Linked DNA regions of Anolis sagrei. The protein of the gene in region 1 purifies or fractionates together with the protein of each later gene. This does not show direct contact. Links are inferred from orthologs where the notes say so. Each region holds a gene or a part of one and is shown in the gene's direction. Other genes may lie near its edges. The genes, in order: SLMAP, STK24, STK26 and STRN3.

Region 1 (7,532 bases):
GCCATGAACTAAGGCCTCATCTATACTGACCATTTAATGCAGTTCAAAGCTAGCTTCAAACTGTGGTGGCTAGAGAATAAACCTTCACAAAAAATGTTTTAAAAGCCCTTAACGTGCATCAATGCTCTGTGGTTTGGGGAATCATCACCCAGGCCTTCAACTGGTTCCAGGATTTTCCTAGGTAATCATATGTACATTGAAACCACTTTCTTCAATACTGATTTGAAACTGTATTAAATTGTCAGTGTAGGTGGGGCCCAAATCATATTTACACTCATTAGAGTAGACCAATTATGTCTATAGGATGTGTTGTCTCACCATTCAACAACTGATTGAAAGAGACTACTCTGCTTGGGACTAGCCATAGATTTTGCATTCACAGATTCAACTGCTCTTATTTTTACTGATAAAATGATTTAAAACTATTTAATTAATTAATTAAATTTGTTTTCCACATGACAACTTTCAAATATGTTTTGTTTTAGTCATTTTAGGTCCCATATTTGAAGGAAGGCAGGATATGAATTAAATAAATACAACAGAAAATCCATTATGGGGAAAAAAACATGAAATAGCTGTACAGTTCCTTTGAGTTGTTAATATGAGAAGTGCTACATTGAGAAATGCCTGAAGCATTGTGTTGTACTTCCACTTCTCCTTAATATATTCCATGTGGTAAAGATGATGTAATTAGTAGTGGAAAAACAAAGGAGGCTTAGAAGAACAACAGTCTCTATAGACCCTGTAAAATTCCAGCAAAAAAAGGGCTATTGGCAAGTATCTTACTTTCTTAACTGTGAGTTACTGTGATGTTCATGGAACTTAACAGTTCCATGAACATAAACCTACTTCTGAGTAAACAGTCAAAGAGTTAAATGGAATTTACTTCTGGGCAGCACTAAAGTAAATCTAATGCTAGTAATATTTATTGAAATAAAGAGGACCTAGGATAACTAAAACAAAACAAAATGACCATAGGTGATTTAAATAATCTTAAAGTAGATAATTAAAACATTGAACTAGGTCAGTATCTTCCATAACTTCGTCCAGTCATCAATCAGAACAGAGACTGTAGGCAAGAAATCAGAAGAAGACTACTACGACAAATAATAATACATTTTATGTTACTCGGTTCTCCTAACAGCTTGAGGTTAACAGTCAAAACATACGAAAATAAAATACATATAATAAAATATATCAATAGAAATGCACCATTATAAAAACATACATCAAATACAGGGTACAAAGATGAACATATAGCAGTAATAGAATTCAAATCCAAAATTCATGTTTCAAAGTTGACTGGGTAGGTCTGACCGAAGAGATAGGCCTTTAATTTTGGTTTAAATTTGGACAGCTCTTAAATTTGTTGGTCCTCTGGCAGATCATTCCAGAGTTTTGGGGCAGCCAATGAAAAGGTCCTCTGGGTGACAGTTGCCAGTCAGGTTCTGGTTGGTTGGAGTAGCTGACCACCAGATGACCTCAGTGTCCTAAGAAGGTGACCCTGTAGGTAACCTGGACCCAAACCATGTAGGGAGCTACAAAGGCTTGGAAGGGAAATTATGAACTAAATAAGATCCTGAATTGTAAGGATATATTATTAAATACTAAAATTAGAATTGCCCATGCCATCATGTTTCCAATTTCTATGCATGGTTGTGAGCGCTAGAAGCAACAAAAGCTGATAAGAAAAAAAATGAAATAATTTGAAATGTGGCGGAGAAAGGTTCTATGGATACTGTGAACTGCTGAAAAGACAAATGAATTAATTATATAATAAATCAGGTCTAAACTCTCCTAAAAAGCCAAGATGACTAAACTGAGACTGTTGTATTTTGGACTTAGCATGAGAAGACATGACACACTAGGAAAAAAATGACAAAGCTTGGTTGAGGATAGTATGAAAAGACTGCAGGTGGATGGATTCAAAGAGACGGTAAGCAAAGAGTCAAAGGCTTGGAAACCAATCCCTATGAGGGAGCTGGATATGTTTAGCTTGGAAAAGAGAAGATTGAGAGGAGATATGTTTGTCATATTTAAGTGCCTGAAAAGATGTCACACTGAGGAGGGGGCAGGCCTGTTTTCTGCTAGTCTGGAGACAAGGAGCAATGAATTCAAACCAAAGGAAAATAGATTCCTCTTAAACATTAGGAGGAACTACCTGATGATAAGAGCTGCTTGGCAATGGAATATGCTGCCTGGAGTGTCCTTCTCTGGGGGTTTTAAAGCAGAGGCTGAATGGCCAACTGTCGGGGGTGCTTTGTTTGTGCTTTCCCTGCATGGCAGAATGGGATTGGACTGGATGGCCCTTGGGATCTCTTCCAACTCTATGATTCTGATTCATTAATGGGGCCACCGTAAGCTGAAGTTAACTCGATCACAACATGACTAAAAAGGCCCATCAATTTCCACTTTAGATGGTGCCAGCACTGGATTTAAATCCAATGTTAATGCAATGATGACTGCCAGAAATCTTGAAGGAACACAGGCATTTTTTTCACAGGCAAGGGACACTTAGAGCCCTTCTACACAGCCATATATCCCAGAATATCATGGCGGAAAATCCCACAATATCTGTTTTGAACTGGGATATATGGCAGTGTGGACTCAGATAAGCCAGTTCAAATCAGATATTGTGGATTATCTGCCTAGTTATTGATGACTCCACACTGCCATACATCCAAGTTCAAATCAGAAAACGTGGGATTTTATTCAGCTGTGTGGAAGGGGCCTATGTGTTAGTTTTCCCAGATCCTGTCTCAGAAATACAGCCTGGAGTTAGTTGGCAGCCTCCCATCCAAGGTCCCTTCCACACAGCCATATAACCCAGAATATAGAGGCAAAAAACCCCACAATCTCTGCTTTGAACTTAAATATATGGCAGTGTGGACTCGGGGTCCTTCCACACAGCCCTATATCCCAGAATATCAAGACAGAAAATCCCACAATATCTGCTTTGAACTAGGTTATCCGAGTCCACACTCCGATAATGTGGGATTTTCTGGGATATAGGGCTGGGTGGAAGGACTCCTGAAGTTTTCAGATTTTTGGACCATTTTCAACCCCAAACTATTCAAATTTGCCCTCGGACATGGTGCTTTTTCTTCAACATCCAGTGACTGTATTTCTATACACAAAAAGATTGTCTACAGCTGACATCATGAAGTGGCATAAAAGTATTGCAAGGACAAGAATTGGCCTTTATTTGCAAAATACTTGGCCACTGGGAGTGAGACCTACTGAAAATGGTAAAATGCTGAAGAAGGCATGGGGAAGATTTTATCATGTTTTGAAATCTGACACATTTATTGTGTTTTTATGTGCAATTTTGTGGTTTGTTAATTAGTGCCTTCGAAAATGAAATTTATTTATTTATTTAGAGCTTTTATAACCCGGTCTTCTTGACCTCTGAAGAGGGACTCAGGGCGGCTAACAGCAGAAAATTCAACACAAATATAGCAAACATAATATTTATTATTTATTACTTATTTATTTACTTTGCTTATATACTGCTGTATCTCAAGTCCGAAGGCGACTCACAGCGGTTCACAAACAGTAAAAACAGTAGAAACAGCAGTGGTTCCATACAACATATAACAATTGACTTAACACATTATCCATAAATTACCAATAAGCAATTACAATGCACAATTATTACAAAATAATTAATTAATAGCATCATAATACATTAATACAAAATACACTAAAATACAGATCATACAATATCATACAATTACAAAAGCCAGGGCTGGTTAATTTGTAAAATCCGAGAAAATGCCATGAACGAAGGCCTCATCTACCCTGACCATTTAATGCAGTTCAAAGCTAGCTTCAAACTGTGGCGGCTAGAGAATAAACCTTCACAAAAATGTTTTAAAAGCCCTTAATGTGCATCAATGCTCTGTGGTTTGGGGAATCATCACCCAGGCCTTCAACTGGTTCCAGGATTTTCCTAGGTAATCATATGAACATTGAAACCACTTTCTTCAATACTGACTTGAAACTGTATTAAATGATCAGTGTAGGTGGGGCCCAAATCATATTTGCTCTCATTAGGGTTGATATCCTGGGATATAGGGCTGTGTGGAAGGGCCCCAAAACTAGCCAGGACAGGCCCTGCTCGGCCTCCAAGACCAGATGGGATTTCGGTGAGGGCATTTGGCACCACACAGGTGTCATGGATCCAGGCTGTGGGGCAGTCCTGATCTTTGAAACATTCTGAATTAACTTTTTAGTTCCCCTGAGGACAGCGAGAGCATTATTTTGCCCGCCTTCCCATAGAAGACCTTTCCCCGCTCGCTCTGGATAAAGGACAACACTGAACTTCAACTAGGGCAACAACCTCCTCTTGTGTTCCCGAAGAGATCCGGAAGCGGCCCGGTTAGTTCAGGGCAACCAGCCGGAAGCCACAGGCTTCGCGTCCCCTTTCCGCGCATGCGCTGCCCGGGCGCGCTGCGGCTCTGCGCCTGCGCAGAGGAACCCGGGCGTCCCTGAGCTTTGCTTTCGGCTCCTCCCCCTGCTCGGCTCCCTCCTCCCCCTCCCCCTCCCTCCCTCCCTCCTGCTGCTGCTGCCATACCGGGTAGGTTTCCAGTCAGTATGGCGGCTCCCACTGCGGCTGGGAAGGTAAGAGCGGTTGGCGAGGGAAGGGCAGGGAAGGGAGGGGAGGAGGAGAAGGAGAAGGAGAAGGAGAAGAAGGAGGGGAGCTTCCCGCTTGGCTGTCCTTCCTTCCTTCCGCGAAGGGCGGCCCTCTTTCCTTCCCTCGCTCGCTCGCTCTCTCCTGAAGTGGGAAGGCGGCGGTTGGGCCGGCCTCCCCTCCCCGCTTCAGCTTCCCCGGCGTTTGTTTTGACGCTTCTCTTCTCTTCTTTTTCCCACAGGTCGGAGGAAAGTTTTCCTCGTCGACGGACTCCTGAGGGAGGCAGAAAGCGAGAGAGAGAAGGTTGGGAAGGCAGGCAAGAAGGCGCCAGGCCTGCACCTCAGCCAAGAAGAAGAAGCAGCAGCAGCAGCAGCAGCAGCAGGAGACACCTGCAGTGCCCTGGCCCCTCTCCTTCCCCTTGGCCATCGCCTGCTGTCAGATCTGCCTCCCTGCTCAGGAAAGGCCACCGCCTGGGATGCCTTCCCAGGTGCATGGAGCCCTCTTGGCCGGGAAGAGCGCTCCCCTGCCTCCCAGGAGCATTGGGCGGCCGGCCCTTTGAGTCCTCCTGCCTGGGCCTGAGGAGGAGGAGGAGGTGGTGGTGGAGGAGGACAGGCTTCTTTCTCCCTTCGCCTTGAGGTGCCTCACTCTGCCTTGATGCCCGAGGAAGACGAGCCGTGGACTCACCCCTGGACTGGGCTGACCACCTTTTTCTCACGTTGGGTTGTTTTGCAGTCCTTTGGCCCTTCCTTCCCCCGTTTCCCCACTCCCTGAATCTTGCCCCGCGCGAGGGAAACTCCTGGGCCCTGTTGATGGAAGGGAAAAGCGCGATTACATCCCAAACAGGAATTTTCGCGTGAGTCATTCGCTTGGAGTTATAGCCATCCCCACCTTAATTTAACAAGCTCTGTTCCTCTTCAGATGCTTGTCCTCATTATTGACAGACATGGATTAAAGTGGAACTTTGCAGACTCGCTGCCGGAGACAATGGGGCTTTTTTGCTGGATTATTGCCCGCACTGGTTCACACACTGAAAGTATGCGTTGTTAGATCTCACTGGCAGATAATGTTTGCCCTGCTTTAATGTGAAGTGTTGCGAGGTTTTTGCTCATCAACTGTGGAGGGTGGCTTGGGTCAAGAAGAGTTTCTCTTCTTTCCTGGTTGGTGTGGCACCGCATATCTCTCCTCGATGCCTTCAGCCTTGGCTATCTTCACTTGCCGCCCGAACTCTCACCCGTTTCAAGAACGCCATGTCTACCTGGATGAGCCTGTCAAAATTGGGCGCTCAGTGGCTCGATGTCGACCCGCTCAGAATAATGCCACCTTTGACTGCAAGGTCCTGTCTAGGAACCATGCGCTTGTCTGGTTTGATCAGAAAACAGGAAAGGTAAGACACCCTACATTCCCCAAGAGAAGTAAAATAAACTTTGCATTTCCTTGTTTTCATTAGGGCAGTGGTTCTCAATCTGTGGGTCCCCAGATGTTTTGGCCTTCAACTCCCATAACTTGAAACGTAAACTCCCATAAATCTTAACAGCTGGGATTCCTGGGAGTTTTAGTAGATTCATGGGAGTTTTTGTTTATTTATTATTTATTTATTTACATCACTTTTTTCCCGCCCATTTCAGCCCGAAGGCAACTCAGGGCGGCGTTCAAATCGGCAACAATTACATGCCGTATATAAATACATACATCAGTTAAAAGCAAAAAATTACATCAAATACATTAAAAACCATAAAAGCAATAAAAACAATAAAATTATAAAACTATGTCTTCCTGTTCAATTCCTGTAGTTTTAGCAATTACACAAGTGGGGGAACTTCAGGGGCTCATTTCTCCCTCATTTTTACAGCTGTTGGGGAGGAACTTGCTACAATGGTAGAACACATTTACCACTGTTAGCCCATCAAGTGTCAGAACATTTCACTTAACCACAATATTTTGGGGAAATTTCAAAGATTTTACGAACAACATTTAAAAATAAAAGCTGCAAGAACTATCTCCTTGAATTGTCTATACAGTGACCCAAAATAATAGGGGATCATTTTCCTCAACTTTAAGAAATATTCATACATCTACTGATTTTAGGAATTTTTTTGACAAAAACCTTTTTTAAAAAATAGCTACAACATTGAATGTCTCTCATATTAACTAATAGAAGAAAGAAATATTAACCAATTCTTCATTTTCACAAAAAATCCTAGAGTTGGAGGGGACCCCCAAGGGACAACCAGCCCAGTGGTTCTCAACTTGTGGCTCCCCAGGTGTTTTGGCCTACAACTCCCAGAAATCCCAGCCAGTTTACCAGCTGTTAGGATTTCTGGGAGCTGTAGGCCAAAACATCTGGGGACCCACAGGTTGAGAACGACTGATCTAGCCCAACTCCCTTCTTCCAGGTAGAAGGGCACCATCAAAACTCTCCTGGCAGGTGGCCATCCAGCTTGTAAACCAAGGGCCATCCATTTAGGGATTTCTTCCCAGCCCAGCACTGATTTAAATAAATAAATAAATAAATAAATATTATTATTACTTACTAGAAGTATCCCCAAAATCCTGGGGACCCACAGGTTAAGAACGACTGCGTAACTGGTTGGCCTTGCTTGAGCCTCATAGACTAAAACTCAGAATTAACATTTAATAAATGGCATCTACTAAATAAATATGGATAAAGGTGTCCTAGCTGTTTTAAGCTTTTCTCAGTACAATATTGAACTATGATTATTGGATTTGGATCCATGTTAGGTTACTTACTTATTTGTTTGACATAAGTTGTATTTAGCTTTTCACATTTATTGATTTCATTGGGGCCTAACTACGACAACTAACCTAATTTAGAGCCTCAACAGTATTTTCTGAATGACTGTAATCATATCAGGTGCTATGAAGGATTTGAGTTTTTTTT
Region 2 (7,414 bases), on another chromosome or scaffold:
GTGGAAGTTGAAGTCCAAAACACCTGGAGGGCCAAAGTTTGCCCATGCCTGCTATAAGTGCTGCTTTTGGCTGGATCTACACTGCTCTATATCCCAGGGTCCCAGATTATCTGGCAATGTAGGCTCATATAATCCAATTCAAAGCCTTGCAAAAAACTTAAGGAAATACTTGATCAACAAGGGAAGACCTTGTTAGTGCCTGGAATTACCTGTGAAACTGCGGTTACTCGAATTATTTGGAAAATGAAGAAGATGGGGAGAAAGTGGGAAGTTACAGCTTTGCAGGTCCCCTCTGGCTGTTTATTGGAAGAGGGATAGCCAGCAGCTTGTGGGTGGGGAAGTGAAGAAAAATGATGACCACAAGAATATGTACATGTCTCAAACTTGCTGATGCGGTTGGTCTATTGCACTACATTGACATTTTTTTTGAAACGCTTTCTGCTGCCTAAATATGAGAGTCTCTCTCTCCCCACCCCTTTAATGGAGAAGGACAGCCTAGAAATGAGTTGAACATTGGTTTGAAGTGACAACCCCCAGTGGCACAGCAGGATAAACCACTGAGCTGCTGAACTTGCCGACCGAAAGGTTGGCACTTCAAATCCGGGGAGTGGATTTGAACCACCAACCTAACAGTTCAAAAACATACAAATGTGAGTAGATCAATAGGTACCACTCTGGCGGGAATGTAATGGCGCTCCATGCAGTCATGCCATCCACATGACCTTGGAGGTGTCTATGAACAACGCCAGCTGTTCAGCTTAGAAATGGAGATGAGCACCAACCCCCAGAGTTGGACATGATTAGACTTCATGTCAGGGGAAAATCTTTAGCTACTAACCATGATATTGTGCAATCACAAGAATGCCCTTTTGTGGCTGGGGCTTCTAATGTATGATCATGAAACAATAAAGGAGCATAATTTAATACATTTTGAAAAAAAAGTAAAATAATACATCTCAGTGACGTGATACACATCAGTGTACTAAACACTGTATTTAATGGGGTGTTTATATTTAAGATGACAACGTCGAGTCTAACATTAATGGCATAATTGCTACTCAGTGGCACATATTTTCTAGAATATGGAGATGGATGATCCTAGCAACCGGCCGCAGAAAAGCAGTGAAGAAAGATGTGGCTATGAAATTCTTCCTTGGCCTAATTAGACTGCCTTTGGTGTCGTTACGTTTTTGCAATGAGTTTGATCAACACCAATTATTTTAATTGTTGAAGAGTTTGGCTCTGGGTGTGACACAGTAACTAGGTTAACGCAGAAACTTAAGATAATTGATCATCCCACGAAAGGAATTCAGTGATTGCCTAGGGAAGGATTGTTATGAACAAATCCAAGATTTTCTTGTTATCTATGCAAATACATAGAATCCTATTGAGATTATATTTTCTAAAATTATTTGTTTTGCTTTCATTGTTATTTACCATTAACCCATTCACAGCAACAAATAGATAACTGAAGGGATATTTGCATCCTAGTTTATGTAAGACACTGGTGTGATTTACTTTGATGTGTTTCTTTTCTTGTTCTTGTATTTAAGCGCCAAACATTAAAAATCATTGCGGCGGCATGGAATACACAATTAAACTGGAACTCGCTGTCCCTTATTTACTATGGCAGATTTGTAAAGTGGAAGCCAGTGTGGCATAATGGTTTGAACACTGGACTATGGCATTGGAAAACAGGTGTGAATCCACACTTGGACCTTTTAAGTTCAAAAATCTTGTGATAGATTTACCTTTGGGTCTCCATAAGCCAATAATGACTTGAAGGCATACAACAACCCCATTAGAATCATAGAGTTGAAAGAGACTCCCCTGTCCAGCGCTCTGACATGCAGGGAAAGCCCAATCAAAGCACCCCTAATGGATGGCCATCCAGCCTCGGCTTAAAAGCCTACGAAGGAGCTTCTACCACACTCTGAGGCAAAGACCCACTGCTGAACAGCTTTCATGGTCAGAAAGTTCTTCTCCAGGGCAGCAGAAAACAAGCCTGCTCCCTCTTCCTTATGGTATCCTTTCACATATTTATACTAGGAGCCCCCGGTGGCACAGTGGGTTAAACCCCTGTGCCGGCAGGACTGAAGACCCGACAGGTCGCAGGTTCGAATCCGGGGAGAGGCGGATGAGCTACCTCTATCAGCTCCAGCTCCTCATGCAGGGACACGAGAGAAGCCTCCCACAAGGATGATAAAACATCAAATCATCCGGGCGTCCCCTGGGGAACGTCCTTGCAGACGGCCAATTCTCTCACAACAGAAGCGACTTGCAGCTTCTCAAGTCACTCCTGACACGACCAAAAAAAACCATATTTATACTTGGCTATCATGTCTCCTCTTAACTTTCTCTATTGCAGGCTAAACAGACCCAGATCTTTAAGATGCTCCTCATAGGACATGGTCTCCAGGCCTTTGATCATTTTAGTCACCATCCTCTGGACACCTTCCTTGTCAATATCTCTCTTGAATTGTGGTGTCCAGAATTGGACACAGTATTCCAGGTGTTTCTGCCCAAAGCAGAATAGAGGGGTAACATGACTTCCCTCAATCTACACCAGGCATCACCAAACTGTGGCCCTCTGATAATGCAGCATTTCTCATTAGGAACCACATCCACTGTTTTAACATCGTGAGATGTATTCCACACTGGGCAATTTCCCACAGAAGAAATACTAAAAGTACAAGATTGTTGGGACGATGTGAGCTTGCAACATCATTTAGAAAGAAAGCAATGTCTGGAAGGTCTGGAGTACAAGCCCTATGAGAAGCAGCTTAAGGAGCTGGGCATGTTTAGCCTGAAGAAGAGAAGGCTGAGAGGAAACATGAGAGCTATGTATAAATATGTGAGAGGAAGTCACAGGGAGGAGGGAGCAAGCTTGTTTTCTGCTGCCCTGGAGACTAGGATGCGGAAAAATGGCTTCAAACTACAAGAAAAGAGAGTCCACCTGAACATTACTTCCTGACTGGGAGAGCTGTTATGCAGCGGAACTCTCTGCCCTGGAGTGTGGTGGAGTCTCCCTCTTCGAAGGCTTTTAAACAGAGGCTGGATGGCCATCTGTTGGGGGTGCTTTGAATGCGATTTTCCTGCTTCTTGGCAGGGGGTTGGACTGGATGGCCCACGAGGTCTCTTCCAACTCTATGATTCAATGTATTGTTGAAGGCTTTCATGGCTGGAACCACTGGGTTGCTGTGTTTTCCGGGCTGTATGGCCATCTTCCAGAAGCATTCTCTCCTGACGTTTCGCCTGCATCTATGGCAGGCATCCTCAGAGGACCTCACAACCTCTGAGGATGCCTGCCATAGATGCAGGCGAAACATCTTCTGGAACATGGCCACGCAGCCCGTAAAACTCACAGCAACCTAGAATAAAAGCAGCTTGGCACCACTTGCAATGCTGTGGGATCATGGGAGCGGTAATACTGTAGCACTCATTGGCAGGGAAGGCTGAGGGGTTTTTCGCGTCAGGAGCGACTTGAGAAACTGCAAGTCGCTTTTGGTGAGAGAGAATTGGCCGTCTGCAAAGGACATTGCCCAGGGGACGCCCAGATGTTTTGATGTTTTTTACCATCCTTGTGGGAGGCTTCTCTCATATCCTCACATGAGGAGCTGGAGCTGACAGAGGGAGCTCAACCCTCTCTCCCCGGATTCGAACCCCTGACCTGTCGTTCAGCAGTCCTGCCGGCACAAAGGTTTAACCCATTGCTCCCCCGGGGGCTCTCCTACAACTCCAATGCTTCCACAGCCTTGAGTCAGGGCGGTTTAGAGTGGCAGCAATACCCTTTGCCTACAAAAGTGGAAGACCTCGCGAGACTACGACTCCCGGGAATCCATGGAGGGGGGATGAGAAAGAGAGAGAGAGAGAAAGCGACCGTCGTGGTGACGCACTGAGGAGGCGGGGTCTACACGGCCCCCGCCCCGCCCGTGACGTAGGAGGCGGGGTGGCAAAAGCTCCTCCCCTTCTCTTCCTCTGCGCATGCCCGCCCAGAGCAATTAAGAGTGGCAGCAATACCGTCTGGGTACTAAAGTGGGAGACCTCGCGAGACTACGACTCCCGGGATTCCATAGTGGTGGGGTGGAGATGAGAAAGAGCGAGAGAGAAAGCGACTGGCTTGGTGACGCACTCGGGAGGCGGGGTCTACACGGCCCCGCCCCTTCCGTGACGTAATGCCGGGTGGCAAAAGCTGCTCTCCTCCTCTGCGCATGCCCGCCTCCCTCTCTCTAGTTAAGAGTGGCAGCAATACCCTTTGCCTACAAAAGTGAGAGATCTCGCGAGACTACGACTCTGCATTCCGTAGTGGGAGGGGAGGAATGAGAAAGAGAGAAACCGACTCGCTTGGTGACGCACTCGGGAGGCGGGGTCTACGTGGCCCCGCCCCAACCGTGACGTAGAAGGCCGGGTGGCGAAAACCCCTCCCCTTCTTGCTCTGCGCATGCCCGCCTCTCTCCCTCGCGCTCTGTCTCTCTCTGTGGGGCGCTGCTGGGGGCGGGGGAGGGAGGCGATGGGGCTGAGGTGATTCCTCCTCCTCCCCTTCCTCCTCCTCCTCCTCCTCCTCCTCAAGCGAAGGCCACGGCGCTGGAGAGGCAGCGGGAGCAGCAGCGGTGGCGGAGGAAGAGGAGGCGGCGGCGGCGGCGGGGCTTCCGCCGTCATCATGGCCCACTCGCCGGTGCAGCAGCCGGGCCTGCCGGGGATGCAGGTGAGCCTGAGGAAGGGGCCTTTCGCCGTTTTCCCCGCCGCGCATGCGCGCTCGCCTCCTGCGCAGCCCCTTCTCCTGAGGAGGCTCCTCTCCAGGCAGGCTCTCTCCTTGGGAAGGGCCTTCAAGGCTCGAGGAGGAGGCGGCGGGGCTTGCAATAGAGGCACCACGGAGTGACCACTCTTTCCCCAGGAAGCCAAGCGGCATTTGTGTCTCTGTGTGTGTGCATACTTTGCCTGTGGGTTTCCTCTCCCTTGAGTTAGGGGTCGCCATCCCTCCCCTCTCCCCCCTCCCTCCCCTGCTAACATCGATTATATCCCATTTCCACCCTGCTTCTCTCTCCTAAGGGCTTGCACAGTAATTGGGTTTTTCATGCACTATCCAGCCCTAAACAAAACCCCTGCAGTTCAGAAGAGTTGACCTTCAGCGTGTCCTGGATTATAATACTAACAATAATAATCTGAAGTGCCTCCCTCCCTTTGCCCTTGTTGGATAGATGTACAGGCTTCTTGTTTACCTTTTTCTTCCTTGTATTATCTATCTTGCTGTCCATTTCGGGCAAGTCAACACTGAGATGGTGTCCTTGAGGCAATATTTGTTGTGGATGGGAGTGCATTGGGTGGGATTGTTTTAAAGCAGGCATGGGCAAACTTCAGCCCTCCAGGTGTTTTGTACTTCAACACCCACAATTCGGAATTGTGGGAGTTGAAGCACAAAACACCTGGAGGGCTGGAGTTTGCCCATGCCTGCTTTAAAGGATAGATAGGACAGCCTCCCTCCATGTTCTGGCCTAGCAAAGAGGAAGAGGTGGGTGCACACACCAGTTATAGTGACCTAGTGGTAACATTTCTTCTGCCTGTCCTTCAGCGGCTGCAGCAGCAGAAAGCAGCCCCTTGGTCTTGTTTTGGCTGGAAAGATTGGACATGCACAAAGGGAGGTAATAGAAAGGGGAGCTGGGCTGTGGAGAAGTGTGCTTCCTTTTCTTCCTAAGGCATGCCTGTGGGGGAATGAAGGGGAGGCATATTCAGGGTGCAAGCTTCAGGGAGTATATGGAAATATATTTATCTTTGGTGGAGTTAACCAGGCATCTTCATAGAACAGAACAAGTCTTGTTCTGAATATTGAACTGCTAGAATCATAGTGTTGGAAGAGACCTCGTAGGCCATCCAGTCCAACCCCTTGCCAAGAAGCAGGAAAATCACATTCAAAGCACCTCAATAAATGGCCATCCAGCCTCTGTTTAAAATCCACCAAAGAAAGAGCCTCCACCACAGTTTGGGGCAGAGAGTTCCAATACTGCATACTAGCTCTAAGAAAAGCGTGAACTGAAGGACTGATAATTTTCATTGCATTTCCTTAAATGAAAGGCTTAGGGTGAATCTAGACCATGGAATTGATATAGTTTGGCACTATTTTAACTGCTGTGTCTTAATGCTTTGAGATGCTGGGAATTGTGGTTTGGTGGGACACCAACACTCTTTGGCAGAGATGGCTAAAGGTCTTGTATTACCACAGCATTCATAATTCCAAAGCATTGAGCCGTGGCAGCTAAGATAGTGTCAGATTGCATTAATTGTGCAGTGTAGATGCATCCTTGCTTAAGAACTTCCTGCTGCAGAGTTCATTACTTCCTGTCTGACAGCCCCTGTGCATAGCATTAGCTAGGGGCCAAGTTCACTGGTTAACAGCAAGTGAAAGCTTTTGAAATCCTTGGGACAGTGTAATCCAATTTTGGTGTATATATCCTGTGATATAAGTAGAGAAAATACATTTGACCCACAGTATTTATAACAGCAGTGGGTACTCGGTTTGCCCCCCAGAACAACAGCCTGCTGTCTTCATAAAAACCTCCCCCTTCTTATTCACCCATAGTTGTGCATAGCTCTTCCCCACTTCCATTCTCAAACACACACACACAGAATTCAAGATCCAGTCTTTAGTTAATTTCTCCCTCCCATACCCTGGATCAGAAAGATATTGCTGCATACAGGCAGCTTCAAGTTACAAACAACTCATAGTTGCAAACGAGCATGAAACAACAGGAAGTAAAAGAAATATACCCTTCGGAAGGGAAATTCACTCCTATCATGGGGAAAATATGTCTCCACTGAAATTTTATCACTAATCCTTGTTTCCTCAACAAGCCAATTTTTTCCAAATCACAGGGACAGAAAGTGAGGTGAAATCTTCTGTACAGGGGCACAGACAGTAAAACAAGCACCAGAGGGGTGTTAACCCTTCCCTATGTCATCCAAACCTCGTTCTCTCTTTCTCTTTCTCTCTCTCACTGGAGTTACACTTAAAAATGTAGCTGTTCCAACTTACATACAAATTCAACTAGAGAACACACCTACAGAACCTACGTTATTTGTAATTTGCGGACTGCCTGTATACTCATAGTCTGTAAGTCGATTTCGTTGCTGAATATACTAATAGTTTATAAGTTAAGGGCAGGTTTTGGGACCAAAATGATGGATTTTGACATGACCCATGAATAAGTTGAAGTTCATTCTATGAGAGGGGGAAAGCACCAATGCCACTTGAGATGTATCTCCCCACCCAGGTATTTCAAAAATGTGGAGAGAGAGGGGCCTGTGCGGTTTTTAAAATTTCCTCTTGGGACAGACTAAACTCTCACCTTTTGACACCACTCAGAGAATGGTGTCAAACTATCAACTCACATTGATAGTTGATAAGTCGACTGAGGGTTCT
Region 3 (6,877 bases), on another chromosome or scaffold:
AGAGTTCCACTGCTGAACGGCTCTCACAGTCAGGTTTTAAACAGAAGCTGGTTGGCCATCTGTCAGGGTGCTTTGAATGCAATTTTCCTACTTCTTGGCAGGGGGTTGGACTGGATGGCCCATGATATCTCTCCCAACTCTATGATTCTATGAGGAACTGCAAACTTGGCTTAAAAAGTTCGAGGACCCTTGCTTTAAAAGACATCATTTCCGTCCAAGCTAAATGCATTTGTTGTTGTTTCGATCCAAACTTCCCGCACAACAATATTCCTTATTCTTGGCCATTGATCCTCACCCCACTCATCCAGGCAGAACATTTTGTGGTCCTGTGCAAAGCCAGTTTTTGTTGATTTTACATTAAATAAAAAAGTCACTGTCAAGTATGTTTTGGGGTGGGTTTTATTTATTTTTTGCAATGGAGCCCAAATTTAATTGTAGTTGGCAACGTTTGGGGAACATTCAAAGGTATGCATTCATTGGGCTTCAGAGTGTCCATTGAGTCAAATCCCTATTTCAGGAGTTGAGTTTCGCCAATGTTTGGAATCCCTCCCTATGTTTATTCTCTTTTACAGTATTCCCATTCCGTTCAGTCCGCTTTCAAATCCTGAATTTCCTGCTGGCCTCCTTGGACCCACAGGCTAAAAATAGCCTAAATGCCATCCATTTCGGTGGAGTGGAAAATAACCAAATTGGACGGAGAACCGCAATATGTTTTCACTTACAGTACTGTCTTTCACTGCTGTGGATGCAGTCAAAAGATGTGTCACAGGGCGCATCCACACTGTAGATTTAATGCAGTTTGACAGCACTTGGACTGCCAGGCTCAATGCAGCGCAGAGAGGGATAAAGACCCCGACAAACTACAACTCTTGAGATTCCATAACATTGCAAAGTAAAAACAAAACAAAATACTGAAACCCCCTTTGGCCCACCCTGTATATATAAATATCTTTATTCATCCCCAGCTCTTCATTTAAACACGTATCCCCCTCCGGAATGCACCCCCAAATTGCCCTCACTTCTATTGACTCCCATTCTTAGGTCTCCTGTGTTCGTCCTCAAAAAAAACCCCACTTGAATCCTAGTTCCTCCTTCAGTTGCCACCGACACACCTCACTTGTGTCGTCAAAGGGACCCTATACATTTCTCATGGTTCCTTCTGAACCCCCAAATTTGCCCCATTATCCTCCTCAGCTCCATTTAATTCCACTACTTCCCCCCACCAACTCTCTTGACCACTCTTTGCTTTCTTCTCCTCCTTCCTTCTTATGGCTTCCTCCTCCTGTTCTCTCTCTACTTCTTTCCCTTTTCCTCTACTTATGGCTTCCTTCCTTTTCCTCCCTCCGCTCCTTCTTTCTTTCTTCTTCTTCTTCTTCTTCTTCTTCTGGCTTCCTCCTCCTGTTCTCTCTCTCCTTCCTTCCATTTTCTTCCTCTTATAGCTTCCTTCCTTCCTAACTCCTCTTTTCCACCTTCCTTCCTTCCTCCTCTTATGGCTTCCTTCCTCTCTCCTTCCTTCCTCCTCCTTCTTGTGTTCTCCTTTCTCCTTCCTCCTCTTCTCTCTCCTTGCTTCCTTCCTGCCTTCTTCCCCCTTCTTCTTCTTCTTGTGGTTTCCTCCCTCCTTCCGCCTCTTCGCTCTCTCTCCTTCCTACCTTGCTCTCCTTCCTTCTTCTTATGCTTTCCTTCCTCTTTCCTCCTCTTCTCTCTCCTTTCTTCCTTGCTCTCCTTCTTCCTCTTTTGGTTTCCTTGCTCCCTCCCTCCTCTTCTTCATACCCTTCTTCCCCTTCCTTCTTCTTCTTGTGGTTTTCTTCCTCTTCTCTCTCTCTCTTCTTCCTTCCTCTCCTTCCTTCTTCTTCTCTTCATGCTTTCCTTTCTTCTTCCTACTCTTCTCTCTCCTTCCCTCCTTGCTCTCCTTCCTCTTCTTCCTACCCTTCTCAGCCTTCCTTCTTATACTTTCCTTCCTCTTTTCTCTCCTTCCTTCCTTCCTTCCTTCCTTCCTTCCTCCTCTTATGGCTTCCTTCTTCCCTCCTCTTCTTCCTACCCTCCTTCCCATTCCTTCTTCTTCTTGTGGTTTCCTCTACCCTTCCTCCTCTTCGCTCTCTCTCCTTCCTTCCCTGCTCTCCTTCCTCCCCTTTCTTCTTCTTCTTCTTCTTATGGTTTCCTCCCTCCCTCCTCTTCTCTCTCCCTTCCTTGCTTTCCTTCCTCCCCTTATGGCTTCTTTCCTTCTTCTTCCTACCCTTCTCCCCCTTCCTTCTTATGGTTTCCTTCCTCTTCTCTCTCCTTCCTTCTGGCTTCCTTCTTTTTCTTCTTCCTACCCTTCTTCCCCCTTCCTTCTTCTTCTTATGGTCTTCTCTCTCCTTCCTTCTCTTATGGCTTCCTTCCTTCTTCTTCTCCTTCCTCCTCTTCTTCCCCCTTCCTTCTTATGGTTTTCTTCCTCCTTCCTCTTTTCTCTCCTTCCTTCTCTTATGGCTTCCTTCCTTCTTCTTCTTCTTCCTACCCTTTCCCCCCTTCCTTCTTCTTCTTATGGTTTCCTTCCTCCTCCCTCTTTTCTCTCCTTTCTTCTGGCTTCCTTCTTCTTCTTCTTCTTCCTGCCCTTCTTCCCCCTTCCTTCTTCTTCTTATGGTTTCCTTCCTCCTTCCTCTTCTCTCTCCTTCCTTCTCTTATGGCTTATTTCCTTCTTCTTCTTCCTAACCTTCTTCCCCCTTCCTTCCTCTTCTCTCTCCTTCCTTCCTTGCTCTCCTTCCTCCTCTTATGGCTCCCTTCTTCTTCCTATCCTTCTTCCCCTTCCTTCTTTTTCTTATGGTTTCCTTCCTCCTTCCTCTTCTCTCTCCTTCCTTCTGTTATGGCTTCCTTCCTTCTTTCTTCTTCCTACCCTTCTCTCCCTTCCTTCATCTTCTTATGGATTTCTTCCTCCCTCCTCTTCTCTCTCCTTCCTTCTGTTATGGCTTCCTTCCTTCTTCTTCCTACCCTTCTTCCCCCTTCCTTCTTCTTCTTATGCTTTCCTCCCTCCTTCCTCCACTTCTCTCTCCTTCCTTCCTTGCTCTCCTTCCTCTTCTTCCTACCCTTCTTTCCCTTCCTCCTTCTTCTTATGGTTTCCTTCCTCCCTCCTCTTCTCTCTCCTTTCTTCCTTGCTCTCCTTCATCCTCTTATGGCTTCCTTCTTCTCCTTCCTCCTCTTCTTCCCCCTTCCTTCATCTTCTTAAGGTTTCCTTCCTCCTTCCTCTTCTCTCTCCTTCCTTCTGTTATGGCTTCTTTCCTTCTTCTTCTCCTTCCTACCTTTTCCCCCCTTCCTTTCTTCCCTCCTTCCTCCTCTTCTCTCTCCTTCCTTCCTTCCTTGCTCTCTTTCCTCCTCTTCTTCCCCTTCCTTCTTCTTCTTATGGTTTCCTTCCTTCTTCCTCTTCTCTCTCTTTCCTTCTCTTATGGCTTCCTTCCTTCTTCTTCTTCCTACCCTTCTTGCCCCTTCCTTCTTCTTCTTATAGTTTCCTTCCTCTTCTCTTTCCTTCCTTCCTTGCTCTCCCCCCTTCCTTCTTCTTTGTATGGCTTCCTTCCTCCTTCCTCTTCTCTCTCCTTCCTTCTCTTATGGCTTCCTACCTTCTTCCTTCCTTCCTGGTCTCCTTCTTCCCTTTTCTTCTTCTTATAATGGTTTCCTCCCTCCTCTCTCCTTCCTCCTCTTATGGCTTCCTTCCTTCCTTCTTCTTCTTCCTACCCTTCTTCCCCTTCCTTCTTCTCCTTATGCTTTTCTCCCTCCTTCCTCCTCTTCTCTCTTCTTCCTTCTTTCCTTCTTGCTCTCCTTTCTCCTCTTCTTCCCCCTTCTTTCTTCCACTTATGCTTTCCTCCTTCCTCCTCTCTTTCCTCCTCCTTCTCCTCCTGGGCCTGCCCTCTTCAGGGGCGGAGGCTGAGGAGAAAGAGGCGAGGCCAAGAAGAGTGAGGCGAGGCGGCGAAGGGGGGAAAGGGAAGGAGAGAAGGCCGCCAGGAGGAAAGAACCAGGCCGGGCCTTCACTGCTGCTGCTTCACTTCACTTCTGCCGCCGCCTTTGGCCGAAGGAGGGAGGCGCAGAGAGAGGGGGAGCGCGCTACTCGAGGCCGGGGCTGAGGCGGAGGCCTAGGCCTCCCTCCCCTCCTTCCCTCCTTCTCTCCCTCCATGATGGCGTCCTCCTGAGACGGAGGAGGCCCTTCCTTCCGCGCCGCCCGGGGGAGCGGGTCATGGGCTTCGGCGCCGGAAGGAGACGAAGAAGAAGAAGAAGAGGCAAAGAGAGGCAGGCCCAGGTGAGGCCTGGCCTCGGGGATTGGGGGTTGTGTGTGGATTTGGGGTTGTGCTCCTCCCCATAGAAGAGTTGCCAAGTGGGCTTCTTGTGTGTGGATTTGGGGTTGTGCTCTTCCCCATAGAAGAGTTACTTGTGTGTGAATTTGGGGTTGTGCTCCTCCCCATACAAGAGTTGCCAAGTGGGTTTCTTGTGTGTGGATTTGGGGTTGTGTTCTTCCCCATAGAAGAGCTGCCAAGTGGGCTTCTTGTGTGTGGATTTGGGGTTGTGCTCTTCCCCATAGAAGAGTTACTTGTGTGTGGATTTGGGGTTGTGCTCCTCCCCATACAAGAGTTGCCAAGTGGGTTTCTTGTGTGTGGATTTGGGGTTGTGTTCTTCCCCATAGAAGAGCTGCCAAGTGGGCTTCTGGTGTGTGGATTTGGGGTTGTGTTCCTCCCCATAGAAGAGCTGCCAAGTGGGCTTCTTGTGTGTGGATTTGCGGTTGTGTTCTTCCCCATAGAAGAGCTGCCAAGTGGGCTTGTTGTGTGTGGATTTGGGGTTGTGTTCTTCCCCATAGAAGAGCTGCCAAGTGGGCTTCTTGTGTGTGGATTTGGGGTTGTGCTCTTCTCCATAGAAGAGTTACTTGTATGTGGATTTGGGGTTGTGTTCCTCCCCATAGAAGAGTTGCCAAGTGGGCGTCTTGTGTGTGGATTTGGGGTTGTGTTCCTCCCCATAGAAGAGTTGCCAAGTGGGCTTCTTGTGTGTGGATTTGGGGTTGTGCTCCTCCTATAGAAGAGTTGCCAAGGGGGCTTCTTGTGTGTGGATTTGGGGTTGTGTTCCTCCCCATAGAAGAGTTGACAAGTGGGCTTCTTGTGTGTGGATTTGGGGTTGTGTTCTTCCCCATAGAAGAGCTGCCAAGTGGGCTTCTTGTGTGTGGATTTGGGGTTGTGCTCCTCCCCATAGAAGAGTTGCCAAGTGGGCTTCTGGTGTGTGGATTTGGGGTTAGGGTTAGGGTTAGGGTTAGGGTTAGGTTGTACTCCTAACTCATTGGGTTAGGGTTAGGGTTAGGGTTAGGTTGTACTCCTAACTCATTGGAGAGTTACTAAGGGGGCTTCTTGTGTGTGTATTTGGGGTTGTGCTCCTCCCCATAGAAGAGTTGCCAAGTGGGCTTCTGGTGTGTGGATTTGGGGTTGTGTTCTTCCCCATAGAAGAGTTGCCAAGTGGGCTTCTGGTGTGTGGATTTGGGGTTTTACTCCTAACCCATTGGAGAGTTACTAATGGGGCTTCTTGTGTGTGGATTTGGGGTTGTGCTCTTCCCCATAGAAGAGTTATTAAGGGGGCTTCTTGTGTGTGGATTTGGTGTTGTGCTCCTCACCATAAAAGAGTTACTAAGGGGGCTTCTTGTGTGTGGATTTGGGGTTGTGCTCTTCCCCATAGAAGAGTTATTAAGGGGGCTTCTTGTGTGTGGATTTGGGGTTGTCCTCCTCCCCATAGAAGAGTTGCTAAGGAGGCTTCTTGTGTGTGGATTTGGGGTTGTGTTCCTCACTTTTTCCCACAGGCCAGGGATTCAGGAGGCTGTGGATGAGGGGTTGTGTTCTTCCCCATAGAAGAGTTGCCAAGTGGGCTTCTTGTGTGTGGATTTGGGGTTTGCTTGCCCATAGGCTAGGGGTTCAAGGGGACTGTGGGTGAGGGGTTGTGTTCTTCCCCATAGAAGAGTTACTAAGGGGTCTTGTGTGTGGATTTGGGGTTGTGTTCCTCCCCTTTTCCCATAGGCCAGGGGTTCAGGGGGCTGTGGATGAGGGGTTCTGTTCTTCCCCATAGAGGAGTTGCTAAAGGGGCTCCTTGTGTGTGGATTTGGGGTTGTGTTCCTCACCTTTACCCATAGGCCAGGGATTTAGGGGGCTGTAGATGAGGGGTTCTGTTCCTCCCCATTGACTAGTGACTGTAGGTTGGGGTTTTTCCCCATAGAAGAGTTGCTAAGGGGTGTATGTGTGGATGAGGGATTGTGTTCCTCCCCATAGAAAAGTTACTAAGGGAATTTCTTGTGTGTGGATTTGGGGTTGTGTTCCTCTCCTTCTCTATAGGCCGAGGGTTCAGGGAGACTGGGGATGAGGGGTTGTGCTCTTCCCCATAGATTAGTGTCTGAGGAGGCTTCCTGTGTGTGGATTTGGGATTGTGTTGCTCTCCTTCCCCATAGGCCAGGACTTCAGTCGAACTGTGGATGAGGGGTTGTGTTCTTCCCCATAGAAGAGTTGCTGAGGGCGCTTCTTGTGTGTGAATGAGGGGTTGTGTTCCTCTCCTTCCCCATAGGCTAGGGATTCATGGGGATTGTGGATGAGGGATTGTGTTCCTCCCCATAGAAGAGTTGCTAAGGGGGCTTCTTGTGTGTGGATTTGGGGTTGTGTTCCTCTCCTTCCCTATATGCTGAGGATTCAGGGGGACTGGGGATGAGGGGTTGTGCTCTTCTCCATAGACTAGTGACTGGGGAAGCTTCCTGTGTGTGGATTTGGGATTGTGTTGCTCTCCTTCCCCATAGGCCAGGGGTTCAGAAGAACTGTGGGTGAGGGGTTGTGTTCTTCCCCATAGAAGAGTTGCTGATGGGGCTTCTTGTGTGTGGATGAGGGGTTGTGTTCCTCTCCTT
Region 4 (7,972 bases), on another chromosome or scaffold:
GAAAGAGGGGAACAGGAAATAAAAACAAAACAGATTTGAGAGTGGCAGAAAACTTTTTTTTTGTATTCTTGCCTCTGATCTGGCCAAGCAATAATCCCAAAGGTCCTTCTGAAGAAGCAAATTCATAGAAACTGTTGTAATTTCTATATAAATTTGTAGTGTGTACGTTTCTGTCCAGGGCAAATGCATCTTTGCTTTAGTGTTAAAGAATCTTTTCAAAAGGTAAATCACTGCCCCTGGATGTTTCAGAAGAAGCAATTAAGCCCTCCCCCTTTGCTAGAAAATGATAGCCTGGAGGAGTCCAAGGTAGTGCTGGGACAAAAATAGCCCATAAGCACTACGATCCTATGCACATCTACCCAGAAATAGCCAGATTAATAAATACAAAATAATAGTCTTAATTTTAAATACTAATCTACACTGTCAAGCAGCTAAATAGGAGCTAGAAAACGGCAGATGGGACAATTTCACTCAAGAAAGCCTACTGGCTTCGAAGTGCAAATACCTCTATCATGGTACCATAATATTTCTTGCTGCATTTGGATTACACATAACTATGAGTAGCTGTGACCACCACAGTGTAATTCACTGCCAACTTTGACTCTGAATTCTTTTGTGCTCTATCATTTGCCTCATGCTTGATTTTATTTATAGATGAGTGCTGGGTTTCCTTACAGAGAGCTTACTGAACATTAATCACTAACAGTGTGAAAAAATAACTTAATATTTCTATAATTTATAGATAAAGACAAAAATTGCTTAGAGGATATTAAGGTCTTTTAACAGCGCATTGGAGGCCCTCTTTCCTTATAACAGCTCCAACTCCAAATCACAAGAGAACCTTTAAAATCCCACAAAATGGATTGTGGTCATTGCTAGCAGCTTTAGTTATGACACTTCTGTGATGAGACAGAATAGTGACTGAAAGGTGAGATATAGCTTAAACACAGATCACAAAATAAATTGTAAACAATATTATAATGTTGAGGTCTTCTTAATTTTGAAGCACCTTATATTCAACAACACCAGATTTGGGTCACCTTTTTCCTACCATGGAAGCTAAGGCAGTGTTCAAAGAGGCTAAAATATAAATATACCGTATATACTCGAGTATAATCCAACCCGAATATAAGCCGAGGCACCTAATTTTACCACAAAAAACTGGGAAAACATATTGACTCGGGTATAAGCCAAGGGTGGGAAATGCAACCACTACAGGTAAATTTCAAAGTAAAAACAGATACCAATAAAATTACATTAATTGAGGCATCAGAAGGTGAAATGTTTTTTAATATTTACATAAAACTGTAATTTGAGATAAGACTGCCCAATTCTGATTAAATCATTACATATCTTCAATGTAAATGTACTTACGTATCCTTCCAACAATAATAAAGAGAGTGAAATAATAAATATAATAATAATTATAATAATAAAGTAAAATAATGGAAATGCAATAATAACAGTAGTAATAGAGTAGAATAATAAATGTAATAATAGAGTAAAATAATAAATGCAATAATAATAAAGTAAAATAATAAATGTAGTAATAATAATAGGGTAAAATACTGTAAATGTAATAATAATACAGTAGAATAATACATGAAATAAAAATAATGCTAATAGCAGAGTAAAATAATAAATAACCTTGACTCAAGTATAAGCCGAGGGGAGCTTTTTCAGCCTAAAAAAAGGGCTGAAAAGCTAGGCTTATACTCGAGTATATACAGTAATTGCAATATTTAATTCTAGTTTATACATTGATTTCAAGACTGTGGCCTTAAATGTCTAATTACCTTAAGCAAAATTTCTTTTGAGACTTCCTTATGCTCAATAATTTAAAGCAGGAAAGGACACTTTACCATAGTCCATTTGTTAAAGAACCATTTGTTAAAGAAAACCTACTTTTAAGTGCTCTTTCTGTGAAAATATAAAGTGCAACATATATATAGTTTGTTTATCAAGCTTTTCCTTTTAAGAAACAGAGCCAGCCTGTAAAGAGGACTGAGTAATTTGTGAAAGGCCAAAGAAGGCATGTTCCCTGAAGCTCTAACTCTGCTTTAAACAACTCCACAATGGAGTTTCTACAGATGGAGTTTCCAAAGCTACCCTCGAGGGATTACTCAGAAAGCCCTGCCTCCTTATTCAGTGAGAGGTTAGCCTCGCTTAATTTAATCTCATATTCATAGTAGTAATTTGATACCAGTAGCTGGCTGCCTGTACTTGTTTCTATTTGCTGCCTTGCTGCTTTTGGTGACAGTGTAATAATAACAACAGCAGTGGTAGAATCAATCTGCTTCATGTCCTGGGGGAGAGAATAAGTGTACAGTACATGTGGTGAGAGAAGTGGCCTTCTTGTCCATCCAAGAAGTCAGTTACAGACATGTGAGGAATGCAATTGGAATGCCAAGAATCTTTTACTGGCATAACCCAGCATCAGGGAAACCATTTTAAGTGAACGAAAGGGGCAATAAACAGTAGCTTCCCCTGAAAGATGATGAACTGCAAGTGAAATTACTATAAGCAAGAGACTTTAGAAGGGAATTGGACTGAAGCATGGAAAGTAGATGTCTGCAGTCATTTAAATACTTACTAACAGTGCAAAAATTATTTTCAACAGCCCATCGTTTCTTCCATTTCTCTATCTTTTGAATGATAACAGGTCATATTTAGTGTGTTCCTGGGTATAATGCCAGTTCAAACATTTAAGAGGCACTGATAACTGAAATACCAGCAATGTTCCACTTTTCTGCAAAGGTTAACATCTGACATAGGCCTTCTTCATGTGGGGAATGTACTCTGCACATGCCCAGATAATGTACATCTACTTCTCATGTTTCAGGCAGTTCCTTTGTCAAGTAAAGTCCTCTTTACAGCTTCCAGAAGCTGTGAGAGTGTGAGTGATTTTACACTATAGAGTTTCATGTCAAGTTGACTTGATTTTTTGAAAAGGGCAGCAAGAAAATGGCAAAGAGTCAGAGATGCAAATCCTGTACTATCGTGTTCAGATTTCATATCGATGTCTGCAGTGTGGAGGATAATGGCTAATGTGTACTGAACTATCAAGGAGCATTTTGAACACTTTGAAACACTTCACAAGTGTAAAACATTAGCAGGTTGAGTAACTCTTATCTAGAATTCTGAAATCTTCCAAAATTCAGAAATGACAATGACATTTTTGGCTTTCTGAGGGTTCAATGTACACTTCGCACAAAATCATTTTTTTTAATTGCCTACAGAGTATATGTACAAGGTGCACATGAAACATTAACACATTTGTGTTTAGTCTTGAATCTCCAAAAGAGCTCATTATATATGCACAAATATAAATATAGCAGTTCTAAAAATATGAAATCAGAATACTTCTGGTCCTAAACATTTTATATATTACCCAGTCAATTTTAAACCATGTCTTTATAGGTGTTTTGGACTTCAAACTCCCACAATTCCTAACAGCTGGTATTTCTTTCTTCTACCAGCTGTTAGGAATTGTGGGAGTTGAAGTCCAAAACACCTGGAGGGCTGAAGTTTGCCCATGCCTTATCTACACTGTAGAAATATATTATTATTATTATTATTAAACTTTATTTGTACACCGCTAGCATCTCCCGAAGGACTCGATGCGGCTTACAAAGGCCAAGGCCTCAACACACAATACAACAATACAAAACCTAGGCAAATTAAAAACAATTAAAGCAATCTAAACAACAAGCAATGAACAATCCACTAAGACAAAATAAAACTGGGCCGGGCCAGAGTAAGGGTACAAGAGTTAAAAGTGCTGATGTGACAGGTGGAATATGAGGCTTATGGGCAAGTCCAGTGTGCGGCGGTCTTAGCTTTAATAAAATGCTTATGGGACTTGGTATTGGAGGTTTCCTATTCGGGGAAGGCACATCGGAACAGCCGTCTTCAAGTTCTTTCTGAAGACTGCCAATGTAGGGGCCTGTCTAAGATCTTTGGGGAGGGTGTTCCAGAGTCGGGGGGCCACCACGGAAAAGGCCCTGTCTCGTGTCCCCACCAAACGCGCTTGCGACGCAGGTGGGATCATGAGCAGGGCCTCTCCAGATGAACGAAGAGAGCGCGTGGGTTCGTAGACAGAGATATTCTGCATTATATGGTCATATATTTATTTTTATTATATATATATATATATATATATAATATTGTATTATATATATATATATAAAATTAATATATACTATGTATTCTATAATATATTATATTATATTCTGCATTATATGGTCAGCTGTTAGTCCAAAACACCTGGAGGGCCAAGTTTGCCCATGCCTGCTATAAAGGCTAGCTTTGTCCCTTTTTTTACCTCATAGGGGAACAGGTGAGAGGCCGAGGAAAATGAGATTGAAAAGAAAACAAACCCGCCCAAGAAGAGTGAGCGAGCCAACCTCTCCCTCTTTTTCTCTCTTCAGCTTCCCTCAGACACGGTCGCGCATGCGCACGCACGCTTCCCTCAGACACTCGCGCACCTGGGCCGAAGTTTGCCCATACCTACATTATATGGTCAGCTGTTAGTCCAAAACACCTGGACTATGACTGCGATAAAGGCTAGCTGTGCCCCTTTTTTACCTCATAGAGGAACAGGTGAGAGGCCGAGGAAAAGAATGACATTGGAAAGAAAACAAACCCGCCCAAGAAGAGCGAGCGAGCGAACAAACCTCTCCCCCTTTCTCTCTCCTCAGCTTTCCTCAGACACGGTCGCGCATGCGCACGCACACTTCCCTCAGACACTCGCGCACCTAGCCTCGGCTTCCCTCGGACACCCTCGCGCACGCGCACGCCCGCGTTCCTCGCCCCGGCTTCCCTCAGACTCCCTCGCGCATGCGCACGCCGGCGGTCCTCGCCTCGGCTTCCCTCAGACGCACTCTCTCGCGCAGGCGCATATCACGCCGACTCCGGAGCAAGGCGGGTGCTCTTTCCCAGCATGCCTTGCTAGCCTCCTCTCCTCCTCCCCCCTCCCCACCGTGTGGGTGGGTGAGTGAGTGAGCGAGCTGAGAATGATGGAGCGGAGGCTGTAATGGCGGCCGGCGGCGGCAGAAGCAGCGGCTCGCCTTGGGCGCTGCTCTGACGCGCGGCTCTCACCCAAACCCAGTCCCCGGCTCTTTCCTGGCAGACTGCGCCTCTGAAGGAACAAGCGAGGCGGAAGGGAAAGGGGGGAAAGGAGCGGGAGGGAGGACAATGGACGAGCACCCCGGCGCCGGCGGAGGGACCATGCCCAGGGCCCCTCAGCAACAGCAGCAGCAGCCTTTGCCTCCCGCGGCGGGAAATGCCAACTCTCCGCTGCTCGGCCCTGGCTGCGCGGGGCCTGGAGGGGGCTTGCCGCCTCAGCAGCAACAGCAGCAGCCACCTCAAGGCCCGGCGCCGCCTCAGGAAGCGGTGGGCCCCGGCGGAGGAGGGGGAGGAGGGTCGGAGCTGTCCCGGCCTCAACACTACACCATCCCGGGGATCCTGCACTACATCCAGCACGAGTGGGCCCGCTTCGAGATGGAGCGCGCTCACTGGGAAGTGGAGAGGGCCGAGCTCCAGGTAAGGAAGGAAGGAAGGAAAGGGGAAGGGGGCATGCTCTCGGGGCGTGACGTGGGGGCACTACAGCTAACGTGTGTGTGTATGTTGCGGCGGGGCGTGGCGGGGCGTCGTCGCCGTCACTCGGCACAGTCCCCCCTGCCTGCCTTCCTTTCCCGGGGCAGCCATTTTGGTTGCTTCGCATGGCGCCCGCCGGGGCCCGGGCCTGTCAAAGGAGCCCCCGTCCAAGAAGTGAAGGCCTCTCGTTCCCGCTTCTCCTCTCGGTTCTTCCTCGGCCTCCAAACCTGAGGCACACCACATCCTCCCCCCCCCCCCTCCCCGGAGCCGCTCTTTCTGACCATTTGTTGTCCGGAAATGGACGAACCTTTCCGAGGCCTTTCGCGGCCTAGCGGCTCCATCGAATGCCGCTCCAAACCTGTCATCCCGACAGGAGGAATTTAATGTATGGTGAAGGCTTTCATGGCCGGAATCACTGGGTCGTTGTAGGTTTTTTCGGGCTATATGGCCATCTTCTAGAGCAGTGATTCTCATTCTGGGGTCCCCAGATGTTTTTGGCCTTTAAAAGGCATTTATCAGGCATGGGCAAACTTTGGTCCTCCATTTGTTTTGGACTTTAACTCCCACAATTCCTAACAGCCAATGTGGTGGAGGCTCCTTCTTTGGAAGCTTTTAAACAGAGGCTGGATGGCCATCTGTCAGGGGTGATTTGAATGCAATATTCCTGCTTCTTGGCAGGGGGTTGGACTGGATGGCCCATGAGGTCTCTTCCAACTCTTTGATTCTATGATTCAACTCCCAGAAATCCTAACAGCCAGTCAACTGGCTGGGATTTCTGGGAGTTGTAGGCCAAAAACATCTGGGGACCCCAGGTTGAGAACCACAGTTCTAGAGGCATTCTCTCCTGACGTTTTGCCTGAATCTATGGCAAGCATCTTCACTACCTCTGAGGATGCTTGCCATAGATGCAGGCGAAACGTCAGGAGAGAATACCTCTAGAACATGGCCATATAGCCCGAAAAAACCAACAACAACCCAAGAGGAATTTGTTCATAAATGACAGCGCAGATGGGTGCCAAAGTGCATTGATTCCACAGCACTGATTCCAAAAATCAGCAGGAAGGAAATACGTGCTCTAACCGCATTCTCAAACGGTGACACTGACTGACTAACCCCATTGTACACTGCTCAGAATCCAGTTTGAAACTGCATTATATGGTCAGTGTAAGCTCATTCAATGTAGCCTACGCTGACCTTATGATGCCATTTGAAACTGCATTATATGGTCAGTGTAGACTCATACACTGACCATACCATGCAGGTATGGGCAAACATCTCCCACAGTTGGCTGTTAGGAATTGTGGTAGTTAAAGTCCAAAACAAATGGAGGACCAAAGTTTGCCCATGCCTGATAAATGCCTTTTGAAACTGCATTCTATGGTCAGTTTAACTTCATTCAATGCAGCCTACACTTACCATGTAATACCATTTGAAACTTCATTGTATGGTCAGTGTAACTTCATTTAATGTGATCTACACTGACCATATAATGCCATTTGAAACTGCATTATATGGTCAGTGTAAGTTCATTCAATGCAGCCTACACTAACCATATAATACCACTTGAAACTTCATTGTATGGTCAGTGTAACTTCATTTAATGCAGCCTACACTGACCATATATTGCCATTTGAAGCTGCATGATATGGTCAATGTAGGCTCATGCCATGCAGCCTAAACCGACCACTTAATGCAGGCATGGACAAACGTTGACCCTCCAAGTGTTTTGGATTTCAACTCCAACAATTGCTATCAGCCAGTAGGCTGTTAAGATTTGTGGAAGTTAAAGTCCAAACACCTGGAGGACCGAAGTTTGCCCATGACTGATATAATGCCACTTGAAACTGCATTATATGGTCAGTATAAGTTCATTCATTGCAGCCTACACTGACCATATAATGCCATTTGAAACTGCATTATATAGTCAGTGTAGGCTCATATAATGCAGCCTACACTGACCATATAATGCAGTTTCATACTGCATAATGCAGTTTTACACTGATTGTATAATATTGTTTGAAATGACATGCTATGGTCAGTGTAGTCTGCATTGTATGAGCCTACACTGACCATATAATGCAGCTTCAAACGGCATTCTCTGCAGCGCAGATGGGGCCAGTGTCACCGTTGGAGAGAGTGCATCCATCATCACTCAGAGCACATATTTCCTTCCTCCTTGCTATTATTTCTGAATAATGGCAAATGGTAGATTTGTGTGAAGTCCAAAGGAGTGGATCAATTACAAATTAAATGGGATACGATTATTTCTGAAAGTGCATCTACACTGTGGGATCAATGCAGTTTGATACCCATTTCAGCTGCCAGGGTTCAATGGCATGGGATCATGGGAGTTATGATTTTAAAAGGCCTATAG

Evidence for each region.
Region 2: the proteins of SLMAP (region 1) and STK24 purify together in Homo sapiens (affinity purification with mass spectrometry; 6 studies listed by BioGRID and IntAct, with this or other methods). This does not show direct contact. The link is inferred for Anolis sagrei from reciprocal best matches to the Homo sapiens genes SLMAP and STK24.
Region 3: the proteins of SLMAP (region 1) and STK26 purify together in Homo sapiens (affinity purification with mass spectrometry; 5 studies listed by BioGRID and IntAct, with this or other methods). This does not show direct contact. The link is inferred for Anolis sagrei from reciprocal best matches to the Homo sapiens genes SLMAP and STK26.
Region 4: the proteins of SLMAP (region 1) and STRN3 purify together in Homo sapiens (affinity purification with mass spectrometry; 5 studies listed by BioGRID and IntAct, with this or other methods). This does not show direct contact. The link is inferred for Anolis sagrei from reciprocal best matches to the Homo sapiens genes SLMAP and STRN3.

The regions. Positions count from the first base shown.
Region 1 is NC_090022.1:57,663,151-57,670,682, reverse strand, and holds the start of SLMAP (sarcolemmal membrane-associated protein), read left to right. Parts: upstream 1-4,530; 5' UTR 4,531-4,623; intron 4,624-4,874; 5' UTR 4,875-5,819; coding exon 5,820-6,017; intron 6,018-7,532. UniProt on the Homo sapiens protein: Associates with the striatin-interacting phosphatase and kinase (STRIPAK) core complex, forming the extended (SIKE1:SLMAP)STRIPAK complex.
Region 2 is NC_090023.1:115,845,899-115,853,312, forward strand, and holds the start of STK24 (serine/threonine-protein kinase 24), read left to right. Parts: upstream 1-4,414; 5' UTR 4,415-4,660; coding exon 4,661-4,705; intron 4,706-7,414. UniProt on the Homo sapiens protein: Serine/threonine-protein kinase that acts on both serine and threonine residues and promotes apoptosis in response to stress stimuli and caspase activation.
Region 3 is NC_090030.1:23,304,051-23,310,927, forward strand, and holds the start of STK26 (serine/threonine-protein kinase 26), read left to right. Parts: upstream 1-3,877; 5' UTR 3,878-4,261; intron 4,262-6,877. UniProt on the Homo sapiens protein: Serine/threonine-protein kinase that acts as a mediator of cell growth. Modulates apoptosis. In association with STK24 negatively regulates Golgi reorientation in polarized cell migration upon RHO activation.
Region 4 is NC_090021.1:298,719,166-298,727,137, reverse strand, and holds the start of STRN3 (striatin-3), read left to right. Parts: upstream 1-4,960; 5' UTR 4,961-5,196; coding exon 5,197-5,544; intron 5,545-7,972. Other genes in the region: AP4S1 (AP-4 complex subunit sigma-1), read right to left, coding at 4,588-4,592. UniProt on the Homo sapiens protein: Calmodulin-binding scaffolding protein which is the center of the striatin-interacting phosphatase and kinase (STRIPAK) complexes.